Callithrix jacchus: one gene and its partners. Each later gene encodes a partner of the first gene's protein in a complex. Links are inferred from orthologs where the notes say so. Each region holds a gene or a part of one and is shown in the gene's direction. Other genes may lie near its edges. The genes, in order: CCNC, MED23, MED19, CDK8, MED13L, MED18 and MED12.

Evidence for each region.
Region 2: CCNC (region 1) and MED23 share a complex: the UniProt entries of both Homo sapiens proteins name them as parts of the mediator complex. The link is inferred for Callithrix jacchus from reciprocal best matches to the Homo sapiens genes CCNC and MED23.
Region 3: CCNC (region 1) and MED19 share a complex: the UniProt entries of both Homo sapiens proteins name them as parts of the mediator complex. The link is inferred for Callithrix jacchus from reciprocal best matches to the Homo sapiens genes CCNC and MED19.
Region 4: the proteins of CCNC (region 1) and CDK8 are in contact, whole or in part, in a crystal structure (PDB 5CEI), measured with the Homo sapiens proteins. The link is inferred for Callithrix jacchus from reciprocal best matches to the Homo sapiens genes CCNC and CDK8. Residues at the interface, in NP_005181.2 of Homo sapiens: Met1, Ala2, Gly3, Asn4, Ser8, Ser9, His10, Gln13, Phe72, Tyr76, Lys79, Ser80, Ile81, Asp82, Leu85, Leu93, Lys96, Val97, Glu98, Glu99, Phe100, Gly101, Val102, Tyr130, His134, Leu136, Glu137, Glu139, Phe140, Tyr141; in NP_001251.1 of Homo sapiens: Met1, Asp2, Tyr3, Asp4, Phe5, Lys6, Leu9, Arg13, Gly58, Ile59, Ser60, Met61, Cys64, Arg65, Ile67, Ala68, Leu69, Arg71, Glu72, Leu73, Val84, Leu86, Ser87, His88, Arg91, Lys92, Val93, Asn145, Trp146, Val147.
Region 5: CCNC (region 1) and MED13L share a complex: the UniProt entries of both Homo sapiens proteins name them as parts of the mediator complex. The link is inferred for Callithrix jacchus from reciprocal best matches to the Homo sapiens genes CCNC and MED13L.
Region 6: CCNC (region 1) and MED18 share a complex: the UniProt entries of both Homo sapiens proteins name them as parts of the mediator complex. The link is inferred for Callithrix jacchus from reciprocal best matches to the Homo sapiens genes CCNC and MED18.
Region 7: the proteins of CCNC (region 1) and MED12 are in contact, whole or in part, in a cryo-EM structure (PDB 8TQC), measured with the Homo sapiens proteins. The link is inferred for Callithrix jacchus from reciprocal best matches to the Homo sapiens genes CCNC and MED12. Residues at the interface, in NP_005181.2 of Homo sapiens: Gly3, Asn4, Phe5, Trp6, Gln7, Tyr11, Ile15, Asp17, Gln19, Asp20, Lys23, Gln49, Glu53, Leu57, Arg58, Gln59, Ile62, Tyr153, Arg157, Pro158, Gln161, Tyr162, Asp165, Leu173, Pro174, Trp177, Arg178, Ile179, Asn181, Asp182; in NP_005111.2 of Homo sapiens: Ile6, Leu7, Ser8, Tyr9, Glu10, Pro13, Leu14, Lys15, Arg18, Leu19, Pro22, Asp23, Val24, Tyr25, Asn47, Pro49, Ala50, Val51, Asp54, Glu55, His56, Gly57, Ser58, Ala59, Lys60, Phe64, Pro66, Ile69, Asn72, Phe73.

Annotation. Positions count from the first base shown.
Region 1 is NC_133505.1:105,604,484-105,607,983, reverse strand, and holds part of CCNC (cyclin-C), read left to right. Parts: intron 1-2,847; coding exon 2,848-2,954; intron 2,955-3,500. UniProt on the Homo sapiens protein: Component of the Mediator complex, a coactivator involved in regulated gene transcription of nearly all RNA polymerase II-dependent genes.
Region 2 is NC_133505.1:138,270,974-138,274,473, reverse strand, and holds part of MED23 (mediator of RNA polymerase II transcription subunit 23), read left to right. Parts: intron 1-1,237; coding exon 1,238-1,349; intron 1,350-2,752; coding exon 2,753-2,851; intron 2,852-3,500. UniProt on the Homo sapiens protein: Required for transcriptional activation subsequent to the assembly of the pre-initiation complex. Component of the Mediator complex, a coactivator involved in the regulated transcription of nearly all RNA polymerase II-dependent genes.
Region 3 is NC_133511.1:115,289,779-115,293,723, reverse strand, and holds the start of MED19 (mediator of RNA polymerase II transcription subunit 19), read left to right. Parts: upstream 1-1,145; 5' UTR 1,146-1,178; coding exon 1,179-1,395; intron 1,396-3,945. Other genes in the region: TMX2 (thioredoxin-related transmembrane protein 2), read right to left, coding at 555-743. UniProt on the Homo sapiens protein: Component of the Mediator complex, a coactivator involved in the regulated transcription of nearly all RNA polymerase II-dependent genes.
Region 4 is NC_133506.1:145,522,819-145,526,318, forward strand, and holds part of CDK8 (cyclin-dependent kinase 8), read left to right. Parts: intron 1-1,920; coding exon 1,921-2,031; intron 2,032-3,500.
Region 5 is NC_133510.1:119,303,266-119,307,479, reverse strand, and holds the start of MED13L (mediator of RNA polymerase II transcription subunit 13-like), read left to right. Parts: upstream 1-1,414; 5' UTR 1,415-1,476; coding exon 1,477-1,548; intron 1,549-4,214. UniProt on the Homo sapiens protein: Component of the Mediator complex, a coactivator involved in the regulated transcription of nearly all RNA polymerase II-dependent genes.
Region 6 is NC_133508.1:65,007,660-65,010,635, forward strand, and holds the end of MED18 (mediator of RNA polymerase II transcription subunit 18), read left to right. Parts: intron 1-1,603; coding exon 1,604-2,157; 3' UTR 2,158-2,476; downstream 2,477-2,976. UniProt on the Homo sapiens protein: Component of the Mediator complex, a coactivator involved in the regulated transcription of nearly all RNA polymerase II-dependent genes.
Region 7 is NC_133524.1:68,398,451-68,402,471, forward strand, and holds the start of MED12 (mediator of RNA polymerase II transcription subunit 12), read left to right. Parts: upstream 1-1,221; 5' UTR 1,222-1,390; coding exon 1,391-1,489; intron 1,490-1,996; coding exon 1,997-2,101; intron 2,102-2,308; coding exon 2,309-2,500; intron 2,501-2,636; coding exon 2,637-2,796; intron 2,797-3,296; coding exon 3,297-3,478; intron 3,479-3,665; coding exon 3,666-3,776; intron 3,777-3,901; coding exon 3,902-4,021. UniProt on the Homo sapiens protein: Component of the Mediator complex, a coactivator involved in the regulated transcription of nearly all RNA polymerase II-dependent genes.

The DNA of each region.
Region 1 (3,500 bases):
TGTCAAAGCATCAGCAGTGGTAAAACATTGGGATAATTAGGGTGCCTATTTAAGATTTTCCCAATATACTAGTCAATACAGTTGATACAAATGAGATATAGAAAGAATGACAAAAGAATAACAAAATTATCAATATGTGGAAATAAAATTTATGAGAAAACTCAGTTAATTGAAAAGTTATTCAAAATAATAAAAGTTTAATCAGGTGACCAGTTACAAAATGCAAAAATAAAAGCTTTTTAAAAATGAATGGGCTGGTCGTGGTGGCTCACGCCTATAATCCCAGCACTTTGGGAGGCCGAGGCGGGTGAATCACGAGGTCAAGAGATCGAGACCATCCTGGTCAACAAGGTGAAACCCCATCTCCACTAAAAATACAAAAATTAGCTGGGCATGGTGGTACACACCTGTAGTCCCAGGTACTTAGGAGGCTGAGGCAGGAGAATTGCTTTAACCCAGGAGGCACGGAGGTTGCGGTGAGCTGAGATCGTGCCATTGCATTCCAGTCTGGGTAACAACAGCGAAACTCCGTCTCAAAAAAAAAAAAAAAAAAAAAAGACTGATAGGAAAGTATAATTTACATTAGCAACGGAAAATATAAAATACAAAGGGAAAAATATGAGGAAATATACAGAAGCTGTAGGAAGAAAACTTTAAAACATTGTGGCACGTAGAGATTTCAATAGACTTTGAATTCTCGGTAAGATGTCATTTCTCCCTATGTTGATCTTTAAATGTAATTCAGTCACAAAATTTGAATGGATATTCTTTGTTAGGACTTGACATAATGCTTCTAAAGTTTAGGTCTCAGAATAACAATTGCAATAGGATAGTCAGAAAATTTCAGAAGAATAGTAGCAAGGGAGTATTTTTCATACCAGCAATTACTTACTTAAGTTTCTGTGTTTTAAAATAGCACAGCATATGAACAAGAAAAACAAAAATAGGAAATTATATATAATGATAGAACTATAAATCAGGATATACCTTAGCACATTTGGATAATCATTTGACAAAATGTTTAGCTGGATCCTTACTTTATACTCTGTACCAAAATTCCAGATGGATCATATAAATTGAAGGAAAAAAGCCCCTAAGGGTATTAGAAAACATGGGTGAATAGTTTTTTATCATTTTGGAATCAGGGAAGGACTTTTTATGCCTGACAAACATGAAAGTAAAAGACAGGTAGATTTAAGTAAGTAATTCAGCTTTCTCTATTATAAATAATTAAATACTGAGAGATATTTAAACTTGGGAGAAATTTTACAGTTATTTGACAAGCAAATGACTTATCCATACTATACAAATTTTATATCAAAAGACTCTCTTAATCATTAAAAAAATAAGTAATCACATTAGAAAAATGGTCCTATTAGAATTAACATTGTATAAAAGAAGAACTGCATTTGAACAGTGAAGATATGGAAAAGATGTTTAACCTCAAAAGTTAACTACAGGGGAAAGAAACAGTGATATACTACTTTGCCTTTAAGTTACAAAGTATTTAAAATTGGCAGTAACCAATAGGATTAAATATTTTAGGATTCACTCATAAACTGTTAATAGAAATGGAAATCAGTATAATGTTTTTGGAGGGTAAACTGACAATGTGTGTCAATAAGTTACCAGCAACACTGACCCATTAATTCGACTTCTGGGAAGTTATTTCAAATATATTATTAATCAAATGGGCAAGGAAAATTACAATGATATTTATTAAAGTATATTTGTAACAGAGAAAAAATGATAACCTATATTTCCATCAGTAAAGATTGGCTAAGTGATCCATCCATAAAGTTATGTAAAAGAATGCTGAATAACAAGTTCCTTGACATAAGACTTCCAATAAGTATTGAATGACAAGGTTCAGCATAGTTTTTTCTTTGAGTCATGTCAATTTCATATCTCCAGTTAAAAATAGTACACTCGACTAAGCAAGAGGAGGAGGCTATCAGTGTAACACATTCTGAGGCAGTTTTTAATATAATTAGATTTGTGAAATAAGGAAATTAAATGCCATAGTTACTTATGAACAGCTGAAAAACTATATACTTCAAACGTAAGCCACCATCAATTGGTGCCAAATAATTCTACCATTATCTTATATCACTAAGAAAGAATAAACATGCTGCCAAGCGGGGCATGATGGCTCACGCTTGTAATCCCTGCACTTTGGGAGGCTGAGGCAGGCGGATCCCCTGAGGTTGGGAGTTTGAGACTAGCCTGACCAACATAGAGAAACCCCCATCTCTACTAAAAAATACAAAAATAGGGGTCCAAAGGGGCTCCTGCCGGAGGTCGTGACGCTTGCGAAGGCGAGGTCATGAGTTCAAGGCTAACCGGAGCAACCTCATAAGCTCAAATTGATTGGCCAAAAAAAAAAAAAATAGCTGGGCTTGGTGGTGCACACCTGTAATCTCCGCTACTCGGGAGGCCGAGGCAGGAGAATCACTTAAACCCAGGAGACGGAGGTTGCAGTGAGTGGTGATCGTGCCATTACACTCCTGCCTGGACAAAAAGAGCGAAACTCTGTTCAAAAACAAACAAAAAAACATGCTGCCAATTACAACACAAAGGCATCACAGATTGTAAGACATATTTTGGTATCAGAGTCTTAGAATCAATGAAATATAAGTTTGTAACAGAAAGACTAAGGAGGAAGAAGGAAAAGATTAGAGCAAGTTTTTTCAGTACATATTTACATTTATTAGTGAGATATTATTCACCTAATTGACTTTAAGGTTACTTTTTGCACTTTGTGCTTCTCAGAATATGAACAACCTGTTCAATCAGAGTGTTTTCTCTGACTTTGCTTGTTGATTTTCTGTAACATGTCTTTTCTAGTTTGCAATGGATTTTGGATAAACAAGATCTGTTGAAGGAGCGCCAAAAGGATTTAAAGTTTCTCTCGGAAGAAGAATATTGGAAGTTACAAATATTTTTTACAAATGGTAAACTTTTTAAGAAATTGGTTAAAATGTTATAGTTGATTACCTCTGAATTAAAATGTTTTTGTGTGGTAATTTGTGAGCTATTTTAGTCCATACCTAACATTTTTATTTATACATGTATTTTTTTTTTTTACAACTTTTTAGTGATCTAAATAAAGATTTTTTGGTGTGAATTTTACATGTCACAGGCACTCAAGACAATTTGAAAGTATTACCTAATCTCCCTCAGGCTTTATAATAATTATTAGATGCAGTTCAAGGTTGGCTAAAGCAAAGTACTTTGACTTTGAGGATAAATGAGTCTTTGGATTGACATCCTATAGTGGACATTTCTATCTTAGAACTTTGTTTTGAAGGGAAGAAGATTTAGGGATAGGTCTTTGCTTTGTAGTAAGTCTGTCATAATTTTTTTTAACCTTCATTTCACTGTTTTGTAAACATTTCTCTGTTTTGAGGATTTATTATGGATTTTTTTTTTTCTTGGTGAACTGTATAAAGTGGTAGTATTAGCTGGGTGTGGTGGCTCACACCTGTAATCTTAGCACT
Region 2 (3,500 bases), about 33 Mb from region 1:
CTTTGACTTATATAAATGCTTGTAAACTCAAAACCAGGTGCCTTTTTGCCCAGGGGCTAAGATTAATCACTTTGATTAGTTTGTAACACTTTACTTTTGCTGTACAACCTCAAGACCTAATGGCTTAAAATAGTAATACTCAGGTTTTAAAATTATTATTCGTGGCCCTGGTGGTTGACTGGGCTAATGAGGCACTTTTCCCTCAAAGTCTTTATGATGACAATTGATGTAGCCAGCACTGGGGCGTAGGAAAAGCTTACCCACTTACATACCTGGTGGTTGGTTCCTGGCTGTTATCTGGAATCTCAGCGGAGATTATTAGCCAGAACCTACACAGGCCTTTGCCTTGTAGCTTCGACTTTCTCACTTCATGGTGGAGTCTAACAGCAAGTGTATGAAAGAAGACTAGGCAGAAGTTGTCTCACCTTGTCATGGAAGTCATACTGTATCCTTTTGGCCATGGTCTTAGGCCTTCTCAGATCTACAGTTAGATAACGTAGACCTTCCCCCATCTCTCCTTGGGAGAAATGTCAGTGTCACACTTGAGAAGAAAATGTGGGATCAAAAATCTTGCCACCCTCTTGGAAAAATCCAAGGGGATAGATGGTAAACATGTAACTGAAAACTTTAGATAGACGTCTTTCTAGTAAAAATATAGCATAATGAATATTATTTAGGTCTTTGTTTTTGATCTTTTATATAAGTAAAATATGTTAAATGCTACACATATTTATAAGTGTGCTTAAGTAATAATGCACTTTTGTGAAAAATACTTGCTATGATAAATATAATACTTAGTCCACAGATTTTAACTGTGTTAGTCTGTCTCATGCTGCTAACAAAGACATACCCAAGACTGGGTAATTGGTGAAGGAAAGAGGTTTAATTGACTCATAGTTTAGCATGGCTGGGGAGACCTCAGGACACTTACAGTCATGGCAGAAGGCACCTCATCGCAGGGTGGCCGGAAAGAGAATGAGTGTCCAGCAAAGGAAGAAGCCCCATATAAAACCATTAGATCTTGTGAGAACTAACTCACTGTCATGAGAACTGGATGGTGGAAACTGCCCCCATGATTTAATTATCTCCACCTGGTTTTTCTCATGACACATGGGGATTATGGGAACTACAATTCAAGATGAGATTTGTGTGAGGACACAGCCAAACCATATCAGTGGCTATTAGAGAACTTGGAAAATTCTGTCTGGTAACTGGAATGGCTGTTTCTTTTTTATAGGCTGGTTTGTGAATCCCTGATAAACTCAGACACTCTTGAATGGGAAAGAACACAGCTTTGGGCCTTAACATTTAAGCTGGTTCGGAAAATAATTGGGGGAGTGGATTACAAGGTATATTTTTCTCATTATAAAAAGTGATTGCTTTCAGATGTGATTGATTTTTCGGTATGCCTATCTTACTTTCAGGTGAGTGAAATGATGTGGAAGCATTTACAAAATCTGTCTATTGTGGTATATTTCCTGGAGAGATTTAAAATTACTCAGTGTTCCCATGGCTCCTCTACTCCCCTCTCAATGTTCTTATAAATACAGGTGGCTGACATATTTTTATGAAGACTAGGGAAGTCACAGAGCAGAATCTGTATTCCTTCATGCTGCAAGTATTGTGATGTTAGCATCTCTTCAAATGAAAGAGCACAGAGCAGGGGTGTGTGGAACAGAGAAGGGACAGAAGCATCACTGATGAAGGAAGCAAGACCTGCTTCACCTCTAACTTGACCTCCCTTGGACACAACTAAAACAACTGTTTTTCCTCAACTAAAATCCTTAGCACTTGGGTTCTTGACCAAAACAACATACACTTTCTAATTTTATCTCATAAACGGCTTACGGACTCCATAGCTACAAAAGCATTCTGCATTTTCAGGAGACTTTGTTATTGTCCTTTTTCCAAGAATTACCCAGTACCTGACCCTGTGCTTTTTTTCTGTGTTTTCTCTAATCTGAAATGACTTAACATATAATGACCTGACAGATAATTAATAGTTTTAATCATGATTTATCACACAGTTAACTCTAAGAAGCTTTTGCTGATTATTTTCTCTACTCAGACTTAAGCAATTTTTGCCTTCTTATTTGAATGGTACTTTATAATTATTATTTTATGTATATGTTATGTCTTTTATAAGCTTGGTTACATAGCGCATAATAAATGCATGTTGATTGGAAGTTTTTCTATATATATCAGAGTAATGTAACTGGTATTAGATATGTGGAGATGATTAACAGAATAGCCTTGGATATCCTTGAGAGATTAAGGTATGTGATGGATGAGAAGGGAGAATAGGCCAGTCACAGTAGCTAACACCTGTAATCCTAGCACAAAAGGGAGTGAGCAGAGAGAGTCATCTACCAAAAAGTTCAATATTGTTATTCAAGTTTTCAGAGTTCTTTAAAGTCCTGTTCTAATATATTTCTGTCTGTATGTAGAATAAATTAAGATTTTTGACTCTTATAACAATGGAAACCCTTCTAATGTTATGAGGACCAAAAAAGCTTGACCAACTGTATAATGACTTTCTTTGTTCATTGTATTGTAAGACAATGTTTAGAATTCTGTTTTGGAACATGACTCTTCTCTTGGGTTAATGTTACGGACTTAGATAGTAACTGATTCAGAAAATTTAAGGATGTGACTTTGAAGGAATCTATAACCCTGAAACCTTTGGATGTTTTTAGTGTCTAACACAGTAGACACTACTTAATTTTAACCCATGTCTTTTTTCTTATATCAGGGTGTTCGAGACCTCTTAAAAGTGATTTTGGAGAAAATTTTGACAATTCCTAATACAGTGAGCTCTGCTGTTGTACAGCAGCTTCTGGCAGCAAGAGAGGTAATTTAGACATGTCTGAAATTCATTGATCATAACCTCAAAAAAGTCTACCTTTGTTTAGGTCTGTGCTTTTAATACTTATGATATTTCTTCTACCAAAAAAAAAAATCACTTCTATTTTAAAAGATGCTAATTCCCTTATATTTCAGAAGGACGTTTTAAATTTTAATTCATGGTTTTAAATTAGGAAAACAATGGTATTAGAAATTAAAATAGCTTGAACCATTACTAGACCTCAGCATATGGACCACTTAAAAGATCTTTGTACTTTGTAACTAATGTTGCAAGAATTGTTACATTGGTCTGTTGCTCTCCCATGTAAGTATGCCAATATTTAAAGCATGTTTAAGGTTCTTTACTAACGATGAACAATCCATTCCATTGTTTATTAATCTTTACTTTTGGATATTTTTTACATATGTATTCTTTTATGCTACAGTTGAAACCCAATAAATCCACAAAATAATATCTCTACATTTTATTTTAATTGACAAGTAGCAATTGTCTGTGTATATATATATACATTGTGGAATGGCTAAATCAGGCTATTTAACATATAGGTTACCTCATATACTTATTATTTTTTTAATTTTGTAGTGTATTTTAGGTTTTGGGGTACATGTGCAGAACATGCAAGACAGTTGCATAG
Region 3 (3,945 bases), on another chromosome or scaffold:
TTTTTTTTTTACAATTCCTTTACAATCGCCCCAAAATTTTATCCACTTTCACATCCTCACGATCCAGCAGAGTGCCTAGAGTGTACACTCTAGAAATGTTTACTGAATTAAGAAACGGCTGACAGTGTGTGCAGCTAGTGTGGCCAGAAGAGCAGTTTCAAGTCCCAGGCACTCATTAGTTGTGTGATCTGGGGCAAGTCGCCTAAATATACCGAGATCCATTTCTTCACCAATGAAACAAGAACATTACTACTTCCCTTGTCTACCTACTGGCTCCTCAGGAGGCTTTACTTAATGAGCGGCACTGTAAAACGCTGTACACGTCTATGTAGAGTTTTCATAGGGCTGTTGATTAGTGTGAATGGTGAAATGGAAAGAAACCTGGACTCCGCAGTCAGAAGCTGTTGGGCCGCTCGCTGACTTGATGATGGTCCGGACCCTGTACTTAATAGTTTGTAAGTCCGCTACAGGCTCGGAACCTCAAGTGTCCTCAGAAAGGGAAAGCCCAGGGTTCCCAGTCAAGGTCGCGGGGTACTAAGACGCGGGACGCTCACCCAGTCAAAGTCACACGGGTTGCCGTCTTCGCGTTGGGTAGGCAGACCGTTGCAGAGCGGCGGCAGTTTCCTCACGAGTAGGAAGGCAGCAGAGAGCAGGGCCGACAGAAGGTAGTAAGGTTGGGCCAGCCATCGTGAAAGTCGCGGCACAGAATACACCAGAGCAATTAGAGGTGCCAGGATCGCCATCTTTTTGGCCGTTAGGGCCGGGGCTCATTGGCGTTGTAGGTCTGGCCCCGCCTCCCTCACCATAGAGACTGCTATTGGGCCGTATCTCAAATGTACCGCCTCTAAATCCGGATGTAGCTCTCTGGACGCTGTGGTAGGTCAGAACCCAAATAAGAATTTAACATATTATTGGTTAGTCTAGTTGTCGCTTTATCCACCTAAGTCATTTTATTGGACTGTAGCAAACGAAGCTAGCAGAAGAATCTAATAAGGTTAAATAGCACTTTCTAAACGTTCTCATAAGGCGACGGAAGTAGTTGCTGAAACAAGGTAAGCGGTGCCTGAGGCATCCAATGACAAGAGGCTCCTTGAGAAAGAGGGCGGTACCCTTAAAAGCATTGTCCAATGAAAATTACCAACGCCAGACATCTAGGCAGCGCCGAGGCGGAGGGGACGATGGAGAATTTCACGGCACTGTTCGGGGCTCAGGCTGACCCACCACCGCCCCCAACCGCACTCGGCTTCGGACCAGGAAAGCCTCCACCCCCGCCACCACCTCCTCCAGGCGGGGGTCCCGGCACGGCCCCGCCTCCCACCGCAGCCACGGCCCCTCCCGGCGCGGACAAGTCAGGAGCTGGCTGTGGCCCTTTCTACCTAATGAGGGAACTGCCAGGTGAGTACACGGCCTTGCCAAAGCCAGCCAATCAAATCTTAGAGAGGAGGTGATGGGCGTGGTTCTCAGCCGGCTAGCGGAGGTGCCAGGTAACCTAAGAAAGACAGACTCGGACTGTGGAGCCATAAGTCGGAAGCGCTGTTAGGATTCACAAGCAGAGGGATGACTTGAATTCAACCAAACGGCGGGGGAGAGGGACGGTGAATCTCCGTGACACTGGTTTATGTCTCCCTAAAAAAATGATCCAGGACTGGGCGCGGTGACTGATGCCTGTAATCCCAGCACTCTGGGAGGCGGAGGCGGGCGAATCACCTAAGGTCAGGAGTTCGAGACCAGCCTAGTCAACATGATGAAACCCCCCCTCTCTACTAAAAATACAAAAATTAGCCGGGCATGGTTGCGTATACGTTTAATCCCAGCTACTCAGGTGGCTCAGGCGGGAGAATCGCTTTGAACCCGGGAGGCGGAGGTTGCGGTGAGCCTAGATTGCTCCACTGCACTCCAGCCTGGGCGACAGAACGAGACTCCCTCTCAAAAACAAAAGATCCAGGAGATCCAGGGTTTCAGTTAGGAACTTGAGAGGCCTGATTTAATATCTTTGGGGACCCAAAGTTTTAATTTTGCTGTTGGTTTGGGGCAAGTTGCCATTATTCCTTCTAAGGTTCCGGCGTTTCCTGGTCTGTTCTAAGAAGGGATAAGAATCAAACCAAACTCTTTTCATTCAAAAATTAATTTTGTTGAGTTCCTATGTACCAAGCACTTTTGTAAATGCTTGAGATACAGTTATGAACAAGACTGACAAGATGCTTGCTTTTTTTTGGAATGTACATGTCAGTGGAGGAGGCATTGTAAACAAGATTATATCAGAGAGTGATTAATTCTAGGAGGAGAAAACATGATAAAGAATTGAAAGGGGCCAGGCGTGTTGCTCACACCTGTAATCCCAGCGCTTTGGGAGGCCCAGGCAGGAGGATCCTTTGAGTCCAGGAGTTTGAGACCAGCCTGGGCAACATGTCGAGACCCAGTCTCTACAAAACATACAAGAATAGCCAGGCACGGCAGTCCGTGCCTATAGCCCCAGCTATTGGGGAGGCTAAGGGAGGAGATTCTCTTGAACTCAGGAGGTTTCGGCTGCAGTGAACCAAGATAGTGCCACTGCACTCCAGCCTGGGCAACAGATGAGACCATCTCTCAAAAGAAAAAAATGTTGAGGGCAGAACTACTTTAGTTAGAGTGACCAGAGATGCTCTTTCCATGTAGCTAACATTTGAACTAAAATATAAGCATAGACAAAGGGCCAGCTATGGATGGATAGGAGGGAGAGATAATACTAGATACAAGTAATGAGGTCAGAAACCCTGATGTGAGAAAACGCTTAGAATATCTGAGGGACAGAAAATCAGTTGGACTCCAGTGAAGTGAACGAAAGGAAAGAGTCTTAGGAGAGAGAGACAAAAGGAAAGGTGGGAGAGTTAGGCAGAGGCCTTTATAAAGTAATAAAGGCATTTAGATGGCAAATACCAAAGGAAGCCGTTTAAAAAAAAATTTATAGAGGCAAAGTCTCACTGTGTCACCCAGGCTGGACTGCAGTGGCATAATCATAGCTCACTGTGACCTCGAATTCCTGGGCTCATGCTGTCCTCCCAGCTCAGCCTCCCAGGTAGCTAGGGCGACAGGCATGTGCCACCATGGTTGGCTAACTTAAAATTTTTCTGTAGAGATAGGGTCTTACTGTATTGTCCAAGCTGGTCTTGAACTCCTGGCCAACAGCAGTCCTCCTGCCTTGCCCTTCCAAAGTGCTGGGATTATAGACGTGAGCCACTGTGCCCAGCCAAGGAAAGCCATTTTAACACAGGAACTTGGTCAGATTTACTTATTTATAATCATTCAAGCAGCCACATGACAAATAGAAAGTGGGGAAGTCAGAGGTTACCACTCATAGTCCAGGAAAGATGATGGTTCAAACCAGGGCATAGCAGGGCATAGAGAAGTAAATGGATACAGGATGTTAGAGGTAGAGCTGATGGGGATGAAAAGTTGAATATAGGGCCAGGCGCTGTGGCTCATGCCAGTAATCCCAACACTTTGGGAGGCCGAGGTGGGAGAATATCTTGAGCCCGAAAGTTTGAGACAAGCCTGGGAAACATAATGAGACACATCTCTACAAAAAATAAATATAATTTAGCTAGGCATAGTGATGTGTGCCTGTAGTCTCAGCTACTTAGGCGGCTGAGGTGATAGAATTACTTGAGCCCAGGAAGTTGAGGCTGCAGTGAGCCGTGACTGCACCACTGCACTCCAGCCTGGATAATAGGGGAAGAAGTGAAGGAGAGAGTAAAGTGAAGGAATGATGTCTTCTTAAGTTTTCACCTTGAATAATTAGGTGTATGGGTATGGAGACTTGGAAGATGAGGAAGGAACAAGTTTGAAGAGGTGGAAATCAAGTTTTCTGGACATGTTAGGTCTCCAAGATGCCTTTCATTATCTCAAGTCTTATTTCCACATCATGACTTGAGGGAAATAATAACAAATATTGGTATGGTACTCTGA
Region 4 (3,500 bases), on another chromosome or scaffold:
TTATAAAATAAGGAGATAAAAGATTTTAAATAAAATAATATTCTTTTATGAGAGGAGAAAGCACAAACCCATGAAAATATGCTCTCCTTGGATGCTTCTCTCTGTTCTTTGTTATTTTATGAAAAGTTACAAAATTTTAATCAACTTTACTATGTAATTTAAATGCCTGAAATTAGGTACTGTATCTTATAGGGTTGCAAAATTTAATTTTCATGTTATCATTGGTGTTAATGAATGTTGCATCTTCTAATGTTGCAAATAATCTTTGATATTTTCTAAAAGGGATTACAAACTACAGATTTAAGTTCAATTGTTATGTGATGTCAAAGCCTAGACAACTCGTAGAATGGGACAAAGTTTTGTAAATCATGTATTTGATAAGGCATTAGTATCTAGACTATGTAAAGAACTCCTACAACTCAGCAGCAACGACAGAACAACCTGATTTAAAAATGGGCAAAGGACTTATTAAATAGACGTTTCTCTAAAGATGATCTACAAGTGGTCAGTAAGCACAGGAAAAGATGTTCAACACCATTAGTCACTAGGGAAATGCAAACCAAAACCACAGTGAGATACTACTTCATACGCATTAGGATATATGTTAATTTTTAAGGACAAAAAGGGACAAATAACCAGTGTTGGTGAGGATATAAAGAAATTGGAACCCTCATGCATTGCAGATGGGAATGTAAAATACTACAGCTGCAAGTTTGGTGGTTTCTCAAAAAGTTAAACATAGAGCAATAATTTGATCTGCGTTTTCCACTGTTAGGTTTATGCTCAAAGCATGGAAAGCAGGGACTTTCTGCAGGTAGTGGTATACCAGTGTTCATAGCAGCATTAATCACAATAACCAGAGGTGAAAGCAACCCATGAAGATCAATAAAGGAATGGATAAACAAAATGTGATATGTATACATATGCTTACAGTGGAATGTATTTACCTGTAAACAATGAAATTGATACTCGCTACATCATGGATGAAGATATTAGGCTAAGTGAAATAAGCCTGGCATGAAAGGATACATATTGTATGGTTCCACTTACATGAAATACCTAGATTGGGAAGATTCTTAGGGACAGAGAGTAGAGTAAAAATTACCAGGGCCTGGAGAAAAAGGCAGTGGGGTTATTGTGTAATGCAGGGGTCTCTGGGCCAGCACTGGTACTGTTAGGAACTGGGCTGCATAGCAGGAGGTGAGCCACAGGCAAGCAAGCATTACCACGTGAGCTCTGCCTCCTGTCAGATCAGCAGTGGCATTAGAGTCTCATAGGAGCTCGAACCCTATTGTGAACTGCGCATGTGAAGGATCTAGGTTTTGTGCTCCTTATGAGAATCTAATGCCTAGTGAATGATCTGAAGTGAAACAGTTTCATCCCAAAACCATCCACCACCACCCCCTTGTACCCCGTTGTCCGTTTCCATTGTCCGTGGTAAAATTGTCTTCCACAAAACTGGTTTCTGATGCCAAAAAGGTTGGAGACCACTGGTTTAATGGATTCAGAGTTTCTGTTTGGGATGACAAAAAAAAAAAAAAGAAGCCCAAAATGGATAGTGGTGTTGATTGCAGAACACTGTGAATTTACTTAAAGGATGCCACTGAATTGTACACTTAAAAATGGTTAAAATGGTAATTATTATGTTATATATATTTTACGACAATCAAAAAATTAAAACAAAATAACCAACCAAACAACAACAAAATAGATTTACTCAGATATACCTGTTCAGTGTCTTTTTCTCACAGATTTTTTCTCATTTGTTACTGAAGCATTGGTCTCAAAATTGTATGGGCGCTTATTAGATTTTTAAGATTGATCTCCTGGGGTTTATATTGCCTTTGAATTACAAATGGTGTGGGTTTTTTAACACTATTTTGTGGCAGAAATTGTTAATGGATCTCCTTTGTTTTGCAGTTACTTCGAGAGCTTAAGCATCCAAACGTCATTTCTCTTCAAAAGGTGTTTCTCTCTCATGCCGATAGGAAGGTGTGGCTTCTGTTTGACTACGCTGAACATGACCTCTGGGTAAGGTGAATTGTTGGCAGACTTGAACGATTGGTTCCAGTCAGGGATTGTTAAGAGTAACTAAAAACAATTAGGTGTTCTGCTTATTATGAGACTTATGTTTTTAAAATAAAAGTAACCTCACAGAATGTGGTTGGTGGCATTACCAAAGCTAGAGTATTTGGATTTGTATTATTACTCTTCAGTCTTGTCACTTTGATCTTTTAACAGATACTAAAGAAAACAAGGGACTCTAAAGAGTGTTCAACAAGTATTCAGTATTGCTTCATACAGGTTTTTGACCAAATAAAAAGTAACTGTAAAAACTACGAAATTTTGCTCTAAAATATAAAAGTAACATTTTCTTTTATTCCATCGTATAAAGAGAATATAAAGTGAGAACGCGGTGTCCTCATGAAGGAGGACCAATATACTATCTTTGGAGAGATCTAATAGTTCTACTGATATTTGTCATACAGCATTAGGCAAATCTTTTAGTGGCTTTGAAGCTGTAGTTTACCCCATCTATAAAAGGTTATACTTTCTTGCCTTTTTTTTACAATGTTTTTCTGAGGAACAGTCTTGTATTTGAAAAATTTTATTAATGAGACATACAAATATAGGAAACTATTATTATTAACTATTCACAATTGAGATTTAATATTCTAATTCTTGTTTTCATTGGCATTAATTTAATTTAGTATAGTCATGCACCATATAACATTACTGTCAACTGCGAACTGCATATGTGATGATGGTCTCATAAGATTATAGTGCCATATTGTTACTGTACCTTTTCTGTGTTTACATATGTTGAGATAATACACTTAATTACTATTTTGTCGCATTGCCTTCCTTATTCAGTACAGTAAGATGTATAGGTTTGTAGCCTAGGATCAGTGGGCTCTGCCATATAGCCTAGGTTTGTAGTAGAGTCTATCATCTATGTTTGTGTAAATACACTCTGTGATGTTTCGACGACTGCAAAATCACCTAACAATACATTTTTCAGAATGTATTCATTAAGTGATACATGACTGCATTTTACATAATTGAATTGGGCATTATCTTATATTGGAAGAATTCTTTATGGATGAGAGCTTTATTACAAGATGAGATTAGTATGGAAATAAATTTTAACATCTCTTATGACTTTTAGTTATTTTTTTTGTGTTCTGACCCATGATAAGAATAGTTTTAGGCCAAGTGTAGTAGGTCACACCTTGTAGGCCCAGCACTTTGGGAGGCCAAGGCAAGAAGATCACCTGAGGGTTTGAGACCAGCCTGGGCCACATGGCAAGACCCTGTCTCTACAAAAAATAAAAAAAAAAAATTAGCTGTGCTAAGTGGCACACACCTGTGGTCTCATCTACTCATGGTGCTGAAGCCCAGGAAATCGAGGCTACAGTGGGTCCTGTTCACACTGTTATAGTCCAGCCTGGGCAGCAAAGCAAGATGCCATCTCCAAAAAAAAAAAGAATATATATTCA
Region 5 (4,214 bases), on another chromosome or scaffold:
ACTATAGCAGGAGCTCAGGAAACAAGCAATGAATGAATGAATGAGTGCACACAGTAACTAGGAGTAAGGGTTCAATAAACATTTCCGTATTAAACGCACAGTGCCTGGAACACAGTGAGCGCTTACTCTACGGCAGCCGTGAATATCCCTGGGCGAAGCCTGTGAAACCTAGTCCAAGAGCTTGGCTTTACTGTGCGCGGGTTCGAATCCGGACTCCTCTTTCCCAGGTGTGCGATCTCGGGCAAGTGACTTAATCCCTTTGTGCTTCAGTTTTCTCCTCTCTAAAAGGCGGACCGCGGCGCGAGCCTTCGAGGACACACTCCCCAGAGCACTGGGACCCCCTGCCTGGCCCACTGAGCGGCCGCCGCGCCACGCCAGCCGGCCTGGAGAGCGGGGACACAGGCCTGGGGACCCTCGCCCTCCGCCGTGGCCGCCCCGGGTACGCCCGGGACCCATGGTCCCGCCCCGCCACGATCCGTGCACCGCGAGGGGGTGGGGCGGCCACGCGGGGCAGCCCACGGTAGCCACAGGCCGGCAGTCCATGGCCCGCCGGGAGCCCGGCCGCCCGCACTTCTTTCTCTCCCTTTCCGTCTCCCTCCCTCCCTCCCTCTTCCCGGCCTGAGGACCCGGCCGCGCTCGGCTCAGCAGCGCCTCCCGCGAGCCGCCACCGCCGCCGCCACTCCGGACCCCTCCCCCGCCCGCCTCCTGCTCCCCCCGCGCGGCCGGCGCCCGTCACGTGACCCGGCGCCAGCCAATGGCGGGCCGAGCCGCGGTCGGCGGCCGCCATTGCTGTCAGAGCGAGCTAGCCCGGGGAGGGAGGAGAAGCGAGGCTGACTGGGGAGGAGGGGGGGGTGGGGAGGAAGAGGAAGGAGGGGACGTCGCTCGGCTGCCGGGGTCGCCCGCTGGCTTCGTCCGCACCCCCCCCTTCGCGAGTTCGCGCTCCGCGGCGGCGGCGGCTCCGAGGCGGCGGCGGCGGCTCCGGGGCTCGCCTCCCCTCGCGCGCCGGCGGGGGCCGAGGGGGAGTCGGTGGCTGGAGATAAACAAGGCGGCGGCAGCGGCAGCGGCAGCAGCGGCGGCGGCCGAGGAGCAGGGAAGGCGGAGGCGGCGGCCGGCCCGCAGAGCCGGCCCGGGAGGCAGCGGCGGCCCTGAGAGGCGGGGAGGGCGCCGGGCCGCGCGGACAGCGCCCCCCGCCGCCGCCGAAGCCGCCGCAGCCGCCGCCGCCGCCGCCGCCCGAGCAGGAAGGAGCCGCGCGGCCGCCGCGGACCCCCCCGCCGGCCCGGGCCCGCCGCCCCCGGCGCGGCGTCGCCGCGGCGCCTCCCGCCTGCCCGCCGGCCCTCGCGCCCTCCCTCGGCGGCGGCGGCGGCGGCGGCCCGGCCGCCCCGCGCTCCTCGGCGAGGCGCCGCCGCCCGGCCCGACCTCGCCTCGGACGCCTCGCTCCGACATGCCCCGCTCTGGCGGCCGGGCTCGCGGAGGATCATGACTGCGGCAGCGAACTGGGTGGCGAACGGGGCGAGCCTGGAGGATTGTCACTCCAACCTCTTTTCGCTGGTGAGTAGCCGGGCTGCGGGGAGGGGGCTGTGCCGGGGAGGGGGGGTCCCCGACCTCCGCCGCCGACCAACTTTCTCCTCCCGCCGCCGGGACTTCGCCCCTCCCTCGCGTCTCCCCGCTGTTCGCCTCTCGCCGATTCTCCCCCTTTTGGATCGTCTCTCCCTCGCCTTGGATCTCATCCAGTGTTTATTTGGCTCTTTAAAAATCATTTGTGAGCGCGGCGCTCGGCGTGGAATTTGCATGTGGAAGTCTCAGAGCTGCGGATTCTGGGTCGCACTTCGAACGCCCACCCTCTGTTGCAATCGCACTCCCCTTCTCCTCCCCTTTCCCCCTTTTTCCCCCCTAAATGTGGAAGGCTTTGCCTTGTGCTGCCCGCGCCTCCGATCGGCAACCTCTTCCCCCCTTGTCGAATCGGGCTGCCTGCCCGCCCGCCTGCCTTTTGAATTTTTTTAAATTCCATAATGACACCTGCAATTCCGCCCGAAAACAGTTGATTGAATGCGATTGTGTCAGGAAAGGACTCTTGCACCCGAAGCTCCCGCGATTGTAAACATCGACAGCCGCCTGCCTCTCGGGGCTTACTACAGTGGAGAGCCGTAAAGCCATTGCACCGAGCCGACGGAAGGTGGAGAAAGCTTTTTCTTTCTCTCCTCCGGTGTCTTTTTAAAAACTGTTTTCTCTATCCTAACAACGAATCGACACACACACAAAAAAGCAACAAGCTGGGCGGTTTGATAACATCGCTTTTATCTGCCTTCGCCTCTCGCGCTCTCTCTCTGATAATTGACAACTTTTCCTTCGGATTTGAATCGCCTGCCTTAATCTTGAAGCAGTTAGGGTGTCAATTGTTCTCGTGGAAGCCTGGCACCCGCCGACGGCGTCTAGATTCATCGAAATTAAAAATGTATAGGGACCCAGCAACTCTTTCCTGGCGGTGGCAGTGACATTTGGTGGTAAATGCCATCTTTGCTTTTTATTGGGTCGTATTACCTCTGAAAACATTCACGTTGTTAAATCTGGCGTTTAGGCTAATAATTGCAGTGCGTGGTCTTTAAATATGTGCTTTGTGCATGAGTTACTGTATGTATAGCTATGTGCCCGGGAGAGTACGAATTTGTTTAAATATTGAGCGAAGATTTGTAAACAGATGTAAGGCAATTACGTTTCAAGCGTAGAATATAATTGGAAAATTGGCTGAACGGTTTATTTAATTTAGCCTTAAAAACACCCAACTTACTTTAAGTTGTGTACCCTGGTTTTTTTTTGGGTGGGGGAGGTGAGTCCTTTTTGGAGAGCATGCATTTTGGAAATTATTTTCTGTAACCCCCGCTGTAGATAGAAGCATTATTTCCCTCTTAATCCTTGTTTACACTGGATAAATAATTTAGTGTTCAAATTGTAATTAGTTACATTTAATTATGGGTGGCATGGATGCTTTTTTTCTATGAGACTAATGGCGAAATGCAAATTCTTGCCAACTTTCCAAACGTGTTATTTTATTAAACGTGTTACAGTATTTATGCAGATCAAAAAACCAACACGTGATTTTTACCTACAAAGACCCAGTGATACATTATTATTGCTCCCGCTCTAGTAAGATCAGGTAAATTTTATGAAATATTTTAATCCAGATATTTAATCTCAAAATTCAATTATAAGTTGTAACTCTTTCTCTTAGTATTGTAATAATTTTCCCTTGATCTTTTGGTATGTAGGAGTGAAACCTCTTTTGCCTCTTTTCCCTCCTCAGTCTGTCATTTAGTATCAGTCAGGTTCAGGGACTTTCATAGATTGGCAAAACATACTGATCAAAGTGTATTTAAAATGGTTTTTGTGTGGTGACTGGTGACCACAGTGACACAGGTAATTACAATAAACAAGTACAGAGATCTCCCAAATTATCACATACTATGCTGGCTGGTAATGACTGTGTATTTACAGATTCTGTAGACAAATGAAAGTGTATGTATAGCCAGTCTTTAGGGTTTACCATTTGTTTTATCTTTTTTTTTTTGAAAAAAAAAAAAAAAAAAAAAAAGCTTAAGTAAGGATGATAATGGTGCAGAGATAAAATGCTTGAGATTCTTTTGGAGAAACCCATTTGTAGGAGAGGATACTTTGATTTTGACTGACTATAAAGGTTTGTGTTTTAGATATTTCTCCCAAAACCTCTTTAAAACCACGATTCATTTTTGAATCTAATTTTTTAAAGTTATTTTTTAAGTAGCAACTTTGAAATAGAGAACCATCGAAGTGCTTAGGTGATAGATATTTTTAAAGGAACGTGGAATGTCTTCATTCTCTTGTACATGAAGTGTGGATAAGGTGCTATTAAAACACTGAATTAATTAAACTGCTGACTTGTACATTTTTCCGATTTCAAATTGAGATTTTTTTTCTCGAAAATGCTATACAGCAGCAGCAACCTGAAATATTAAAAATACATTGCCTAAACTACATTGTATAGAACAGTTACTTCTGAAGGAAATATAATCATTCCTTGTTCAAAATAAAGCATGTTTTTTTATAAGAACACTATGTGTTTAATAATAGCATGCATTTTTTTCTTTTGGCCTGTGGGTTTCATTTTTGAGCAGAGGAAGGTATTTATAAAGAATTTACCTAGATACTCATATTAGATTGAAATAAGAGATTAAAGTTCTGTA
Region 6 (2,976 bases), on another chromosome or scaffold:
ATATGCTGAAACCCCAACTTGAAAAAAAAAAAGAAGAAGAAGAAAATTAACTTTACTTGCAGTGAGCCAAGATTGTGCCACTGCACTCCAACCTGGGCGACAGAGCGAGACTCTGTCTCAAAAGAAAAAAGATGACACAAATGTCACATAGGGAGGAAAAGAGTATTGATACAAGAGAGGACTAATATTGAGTCCTAGTCCTCCAGTGTTTAGGGAAGATGAGAAACACCAAGCAAAGAAGACTTAAAAGGAATGGTCAGCGAGTTAAGTGAAGAACCAAGAGAGTTGTGTCTCAGAGGCCAAGGGAAGAATAGATTTCACAGTGGGTATAATCTACTATAACAACCATTTCAGATGTTGCCAAGGGGATGAAGATTCTATGAAGCAATTAATTCTCTCCTACTTAGATACAGAAGAGGAAAGCTTTTCCTGATAAAAAGGAAACTTTAGCTGGGCGCGGTGGCTCACGCCTGTAATCCCAGCATTTTGGGAGGCCGAGGTGGGCAGTTCACGAGGTTAAGAGATCGAGACCATCCTGGCCAACATGGTGAAGCCCCATCTCTACTAAAAAATACAAAAATTAGCTGGGCATGGTGGTGCATGCCTGTAATTCCAGTCACTCAGGAGGCTGAGGCAGGAGAATCGTTTGAACCCAGGAGGCAGAGTTGCAGTGAGCTGAGATCATGCCACTGCACTCTAGCCTGTGACAGAGCGAGACACCATCTCAGGAAAAAAAAAAAAAGGAAACTTTATATTTCTTCTATAAATGAAAGACTTTTATTTGTTGGAAATTGAAGGCAATTGTTAAAGTATATGACAACAAAATAGTGTTATTGGCTGGGCATGTTGGCTTACGCCTGTAATCCCAACACTTTGGGAGACCAAGGCCAGGAGTTCAAGACCAAGCTGGACAACAATGTAGTGAGACCCCATTTCTATAAAAGCAAATAAATAAATACATAGCTAAAACAGTATTATTAATTTTTTTTTTTTTGAGATGGAGTCTCACTCTGTTATCCAGGCTGGAGTGCAATGGTGCGATCTCTGCTCATCAAAACCTTCACCTCCCAGATTCAAGTGATTCTCCTGCCTCAGCCTCCCGAGTAGCTGGGATTACAGGCACGCGCCACCACACCCAGCTAATTTTTGTGTTTTTAGTAGAGATGGGATTTCACCATGTTGGCCAGGGTAGTCTCAATCTCCTGACCTCAGGATCTGCCCACCTCAGCCTCCCAAAGTGCTGGGATTTCAGGCATGAGCCACCATGCCCAGCCAGTATTATTACATTCTAGATAGACACTGTAGCTGATTAAAGGCTCTAAGTCCAAGGCATGTTGGAAATTAGCATTAGAGAAGGCCTAAAGACTTTGTAGTACTAAATAAGAAAATTCCAAAAAATTGAAAAGGAAAATAATAACTGTCTCACAACGTTATACAATATTTTGCTAGTGTAACTCCTCTAAAATCTCATGTGTTGGCCCTATGTGTTGTGAAATGCTTCACTAAACTGCTTTGGTTTTTCATTTTAATTTTTTTCAATTTTATGCTAATTCCATGACCTAAAAGGAAAGATAGGACTCAGAGGTGCTTTTTCCCTTTTCAGGAAGTGTTTTAGATCACAGTTTGGAAAGCCTCATCCACCGCCTTCGTGGTTTGTGTGACAACATGGAACCTGAGACTTTCCTTGACCATGAGATGGTATTCCTCCTTAAGGGCCAGCAAGCCAGCCCATTTGTTCTAAGGGCCCGACGCTCTATGGACAGGGCAGGGGCACCCTGGCATCTGCGCTACCTGGGACAACCAGAAATGGGAGACAAGAATCGCCACGCCCTGGTGCGAAACTGCGTGGACATTGCCACGTCTGAGAACCTCACCGACTTCTTGATGGAAATGGGCTTCCGCATGGACCATGAGTTTGTTGCTAAGGGACACTTGTTCCGAAAGGGCATCATGAAGATTATGGTTTACAAGATTTTCCGCATCCTGGTGCCAGGGAACACAGACAGCACTGAGGCCTTGTCACTTTCCTATCTCGTGGAATTAAGCGTAGTTGCACCCGCTGGACAGGACATGGTTTCTGATGACATGAGGAACTTTGCAGAGCAGCTAAAACCTCTGGTTCACCTAGAAAAAATAGACCCCAAGAGGCTCATGTGACTAAGAGAATCTCTCCACATTTGGGGCCTGTCCTTACTTGTTTGAAAAAATGTTTTAAATGCTCCATTTCACCACTGCCAGCATTCTTCCTTCAGGGAGGAGGATGCCTCGTGATGATTTCGTTTTCATGACAGCCTTTCTACATTAAAGGCTCAGGACATCACAGAGAATCTATCTAATCCCACTGTATAAAGAGGAGAAACTGGAGTAAATTAGGTTTTGGAAATAAAAATTTCTTGTTTGGCCATTTGTGTGTAAGGTTTATAACATTAGAGGCTGTGAGCTTGTGCTATATGGTAATAAAGGCAGTGGCCTCGAATTTTGTTTAGGAAGTCTTTATTTACCCCTAGGTAACACAGATTTTCCTTCTTAGCTTTATAGTTTTAACTTTCACATTGAGATCTTTAATTCATCTAGAGTCCATTTTCTAGGGGGTTTATAAAAACCCAGGTTTCTTCTCCTGGCAGTGAATTCGTTTTTCTACCACCATCCAAAGAACAGTGTTCAGTGCTTTGTGCTGCTACCATTGTCACATAGGTTTCCATGTAGGTATTTTATTTTTAAGTTCTCCATTTCATTTCATTTTTTTTCTTTGTTTCAGTGACAGCAACACAATGTTTTTATTATTAAGGCTTTATAGTAGAGCCAGTTCTACCAGTAAGGCAGGTACCCTTCCCTTTTTGTCCTCTAAAATGGACTTACAGTGTAGTGTAGTAATATTTCAAAAAATAATAATAAAAGAAAATAGACTTAGCATCCAGGTATGGTGGCTCATGCTTATAATCCCAGTACTTTGGCAGGCAGGACAAGAGGATTGCT
Region 7 (4,021 bases), on another chromosome or scaffold:
TAGGCTGGCCTTGAATTTCCGACCTCAGGTGATCCGCCCTTCTTGGCCTCCCAAAGTGCTGAGATTACAGACCTGAACCACTGCTCCCGGCCTTGAATTAATTTTTCTTTCCATTGTGATTCAACAGCATTTTGTTATTTTTGTTACTGGTGTTATTTTTGTTTCTTGTTATTTGTTACTTTTGTTACAGCACACGGCTGTCTTTTCTCTAAAAGGCTCGCCTGTAGTCCCGGCTACTAGGAGGCTGAGGCGAAAGGATGGCTGGAGTCCAGGAGGTTGAGCCTGGGCAACAGAGGGAGAACGTGCCTCAAAATAAATAAATAAATGGCAATACGATAATAGGATATTGGCTCTGGAATCGAAAATCTTAGTGCTGGCTCTGTTACTCAGTAGCTGTATAATATTGGGTAAGTGAATTTTCACACTTTGAAAACCAGCTTCCTCATCCGCAAAATGGAGCCAATAATAATCCCTAACTCCTGAGACTGTGAGGAGATTAAAGGAGATAATGTCTGAAAAGCACCTGACACAGTAGGTGCCCCTTTCGCTAGACCAAGGGTTCTTAACCTGGAGTTCATGGACCCTTAGGGGATACATGGATGAATTTCAGGGGATCTAAGAATCTCCTTGGAAAGTAACATTTTGCATGTCAATATATGCATTCTGAGAAGGTCCATAGCTTTCATCAGCACCTTTAAGGGTTTGTGAATCAAAAAAGTTAGTCTGTGGTACCCTTGGGCAGAAAACACAAAAAAAGGTTAGGTAACTCGATTGTAGACCTTGAGGGATTAGAGCCAGCCTTTCAGGGTTTAATAGGTTCTTTCTTATGCATACATAGTTTCTAATGTTCACAATAGCCCCTTGAAGGAGGTGTTAGCGCACCTATTTTTCAGATGCCAGAACTAAGAAACGAAGTAATCTGTAATAGATGGAGTTTCTAACCAGTGCAAACATTATTTAAAACTTGTCTAGGCCAAAACTGAGCTAGGCTCTGGGAACCGAATTCCAGTCAGAACTCAGCACCACAGAGGCCTCCCTCTTCCCTGGTTTGCATCCCCAGCTCATTCCGCGCCTCCGGAACGTTTCATAGGTTTTTGCTGAGTTAAATCGACTTGCCGCCGCCACCGCCGAAAAGCTCCCGAGGCACAGAGCTCCGCCCCCACCGCGCCAGGCCCCACCCCCTCTGTGGTCGGTATTGTCCGATTGTTCCCGGCGTCCCTCGGCTTCCCTCGGTAGTTTCCGGCAATGGTCGAGAGTTTCTAACGTGCCCCCTTGTCTCTCGGCCGCCGTCCTCCCAACCACCGCCCCCCTTTTCGGCTCCCTCTCCCGGTTCCCGCTCCCCTAGTCAGCCTGGCCCTGCTGGCGCCTCAGGCGCTACGGGCTGGTCAAGATGGCGGCCTTCGGGATCTTGAGCTACGAACACCGGCCCCTGAAGCGGCCGCGACTGGGGCCTCCCGATGTTTACCCTCAAGACCCCAAACAGAAGGAGGTGCGTTCGATAATCGGGGCTCTGGAGGGGCCGGGGGCACGCGATCAGCCTAGGAGGAGGCATTGACGGCCAGGAAGGGGGGGCGGGGCGGTTCGGTGGGAACCAAAGTATTGAAAGGGGGAAGAGTAAAGTGGGGTGGCGTGGGAGGGCAGAACAGGGGGCGGTGGGGGGGTTCCAAGGTATGAATAGGGGGTGATGTAGGGGGCCGCACCAGAGGCGCCCTCCTCCACACACACCTCAGAAAGTTGTCTGAGGCAGCTTGGTGGGGTACGGCTGCTCGCAAGAAAAGAGTGATGTTTGAGGGTGCGTTGGGTGGCTGGGAATCATAGTGACCAAAGGGGTGCGGGTGGGGTCCAAGTGAATGTAAGGGCCCAGCTGTAAGTAACAATCTGTTCTACACGGAACCCTCCTCCCCGCCTGTCCCCTTGTTCCTTCGTTTCTCCTGCCCTCCTCTCCCACCACCTCCCACTAAGGAAAACAAAACTAAATGACGCTTTCCTGCCTCAGGATGAACTGACGGCCTTGAATGTAAAACAAGGTTTCAATAACCAGCCTGCTGTCTCTGGGGATGAACATGGCAGTGCCAAGAACATCAACTTCAATCCTGCCAAGGTGAGACAACTCTGCCAGGCTGAAGGAAAAGGCTGGAAAAATCTGAGAAGGAGCAAAGGCCCTGGGTTGGGAAGACTTAAAGGGACAACCTAAGTGGCTGAGTTTACCTTCATGACTTAATGATATCTCATTGACATTTGACCATCAAAAGGCAGGACCACCTGTCTCCCCTTCTTCTCACCCTGAGGTGCAGTTTTCTTCCCTCAGATCAGTTCCAACTTCAGCAGCATTATTGCAGAGAAGTTACGTTGTAATACCCTGCCTGACACTGGTCGCAGGAAGCCCCAAGTGAACCAGAAGGACAACTTCTGGCTGGTGACTGCACGATCCCAGAGTGCCATTAACACTTGGTTCACTGACTTGGCTGGCACCAAGCCACTCACACAGCTAGCCAAAAAGGTGAGGTACTGTTTCCTGTCCTTCAGGCCAAGGAGGGAGCATGAGGTACCAAGTACCCTCCTATTCCCATATTAAGCTACATGGGTATCAGCTCATGGGGTTAATAGAGACCTCACTATTTGCAATGTCCATCCAGGTCCCCATTTTCAGTAAGAAGGAAGAAGTGTTTGGGTACTTAGCCAAATACACAGTGCCTGTGATGCGAGCCGCCTGGCTCATTAAGATGACCTGTGCCTACTATGCAGCAATCTCTGAGACCAAGGTTAAGAAGAGAAATGTTGTTGACCCTTTCACGGGTGAGTAACTCCTAACACCAGGTATACTGCTGATGGCTTCAAGGAGTGATAGAGACACCCTTGGAACCATCCTCCTTCTTAATCTAGATTCCTTGTTTCTGCTTGTTTCTTGCATTCGCTTGATCAGTAAACACTGAGAAATTTGAATATCTACTTTGTGCCTATACTGGGCTACAAAGATGTCCAGTGCATAATCTCTGCCCCCAGGATACTGGTAGTCTAGTAGGGCTACTAAGACATATGTACAAATAACATAATCAAATATAGAAAGTGGTGAATGTCAAGCCAGGAGGCAGAAGGTTCTTTGAGTGGACAGAAAGATTACTTTCTTATGGGGATACCTGGGAAGGCTTTAGGAAGGTGGGATTTGACTAGAGACTAAAAGGATGAATCACATTTACAAATACGGTGATTGGGGGTGGAGGTACGGTATTCTAAGTAGAAGGATATTCTCATCAGAAGGATAGTATCAAATAGCCCTTTTCCCCTCTTTCCTCCAGAATGGACTCAGATCATCACCAAGTACTTATGGGAGCAGCTACAGAAGATGGCTGAATACTACCGGCCAGGGCCTGCAGGAAGTGGGGGCTGTGGTTCCACGATAGGGCCCTTGCCCCATGATGTAGAGGTGGCAATCCGGCAGTGGGATTACAATGAGAAGCTGGCCATGTTCATGTTTCAGGTAGGGAGTAGGGCATGTTGTGTGGGGCATTGGGTTGAGCCTGAACTTGTACTCTGCCAGCAGAGAACAGAATCTGCCTGCCACCTTGCCCCAGTTGTGGTTCTCTTCATCTTTTCATTTACTTTATCTGCCTCATCTCCAATAGTCCCGTGTTGAGCTAATACTCTTCCCTCCCTGGTACCCATAGGATGGAATGCTGGACAGACATGAGTTCCTGACTTGGGTGCTTGAGTGTTTTGAGAAAATCCGCCCTGGAGAGGATGAATTGCTTAAACTGCTGCTGCCCCTGCTTCTCCGAGTAAGGCTTGGAATTTTGGTGGTGGAGGGGGCAGAGGGAGTCTAGGAAGGATTTGAGGAAGAACAAAATGTTAGAGCAGGGTCCCCTGGGGAGAACTAGGGGCTCTGATGGTCCTGTCTTCACAGTACTCTGGGGAATTCGTTCAGTCTGCGTACCTGTCCCGCCGCCTTGCCTACTTCTGTACACGGAGATTGGCCCTGCAGCTGGATGGTGTGAGCAGTCACTCATCTCATGTTATATCTGCT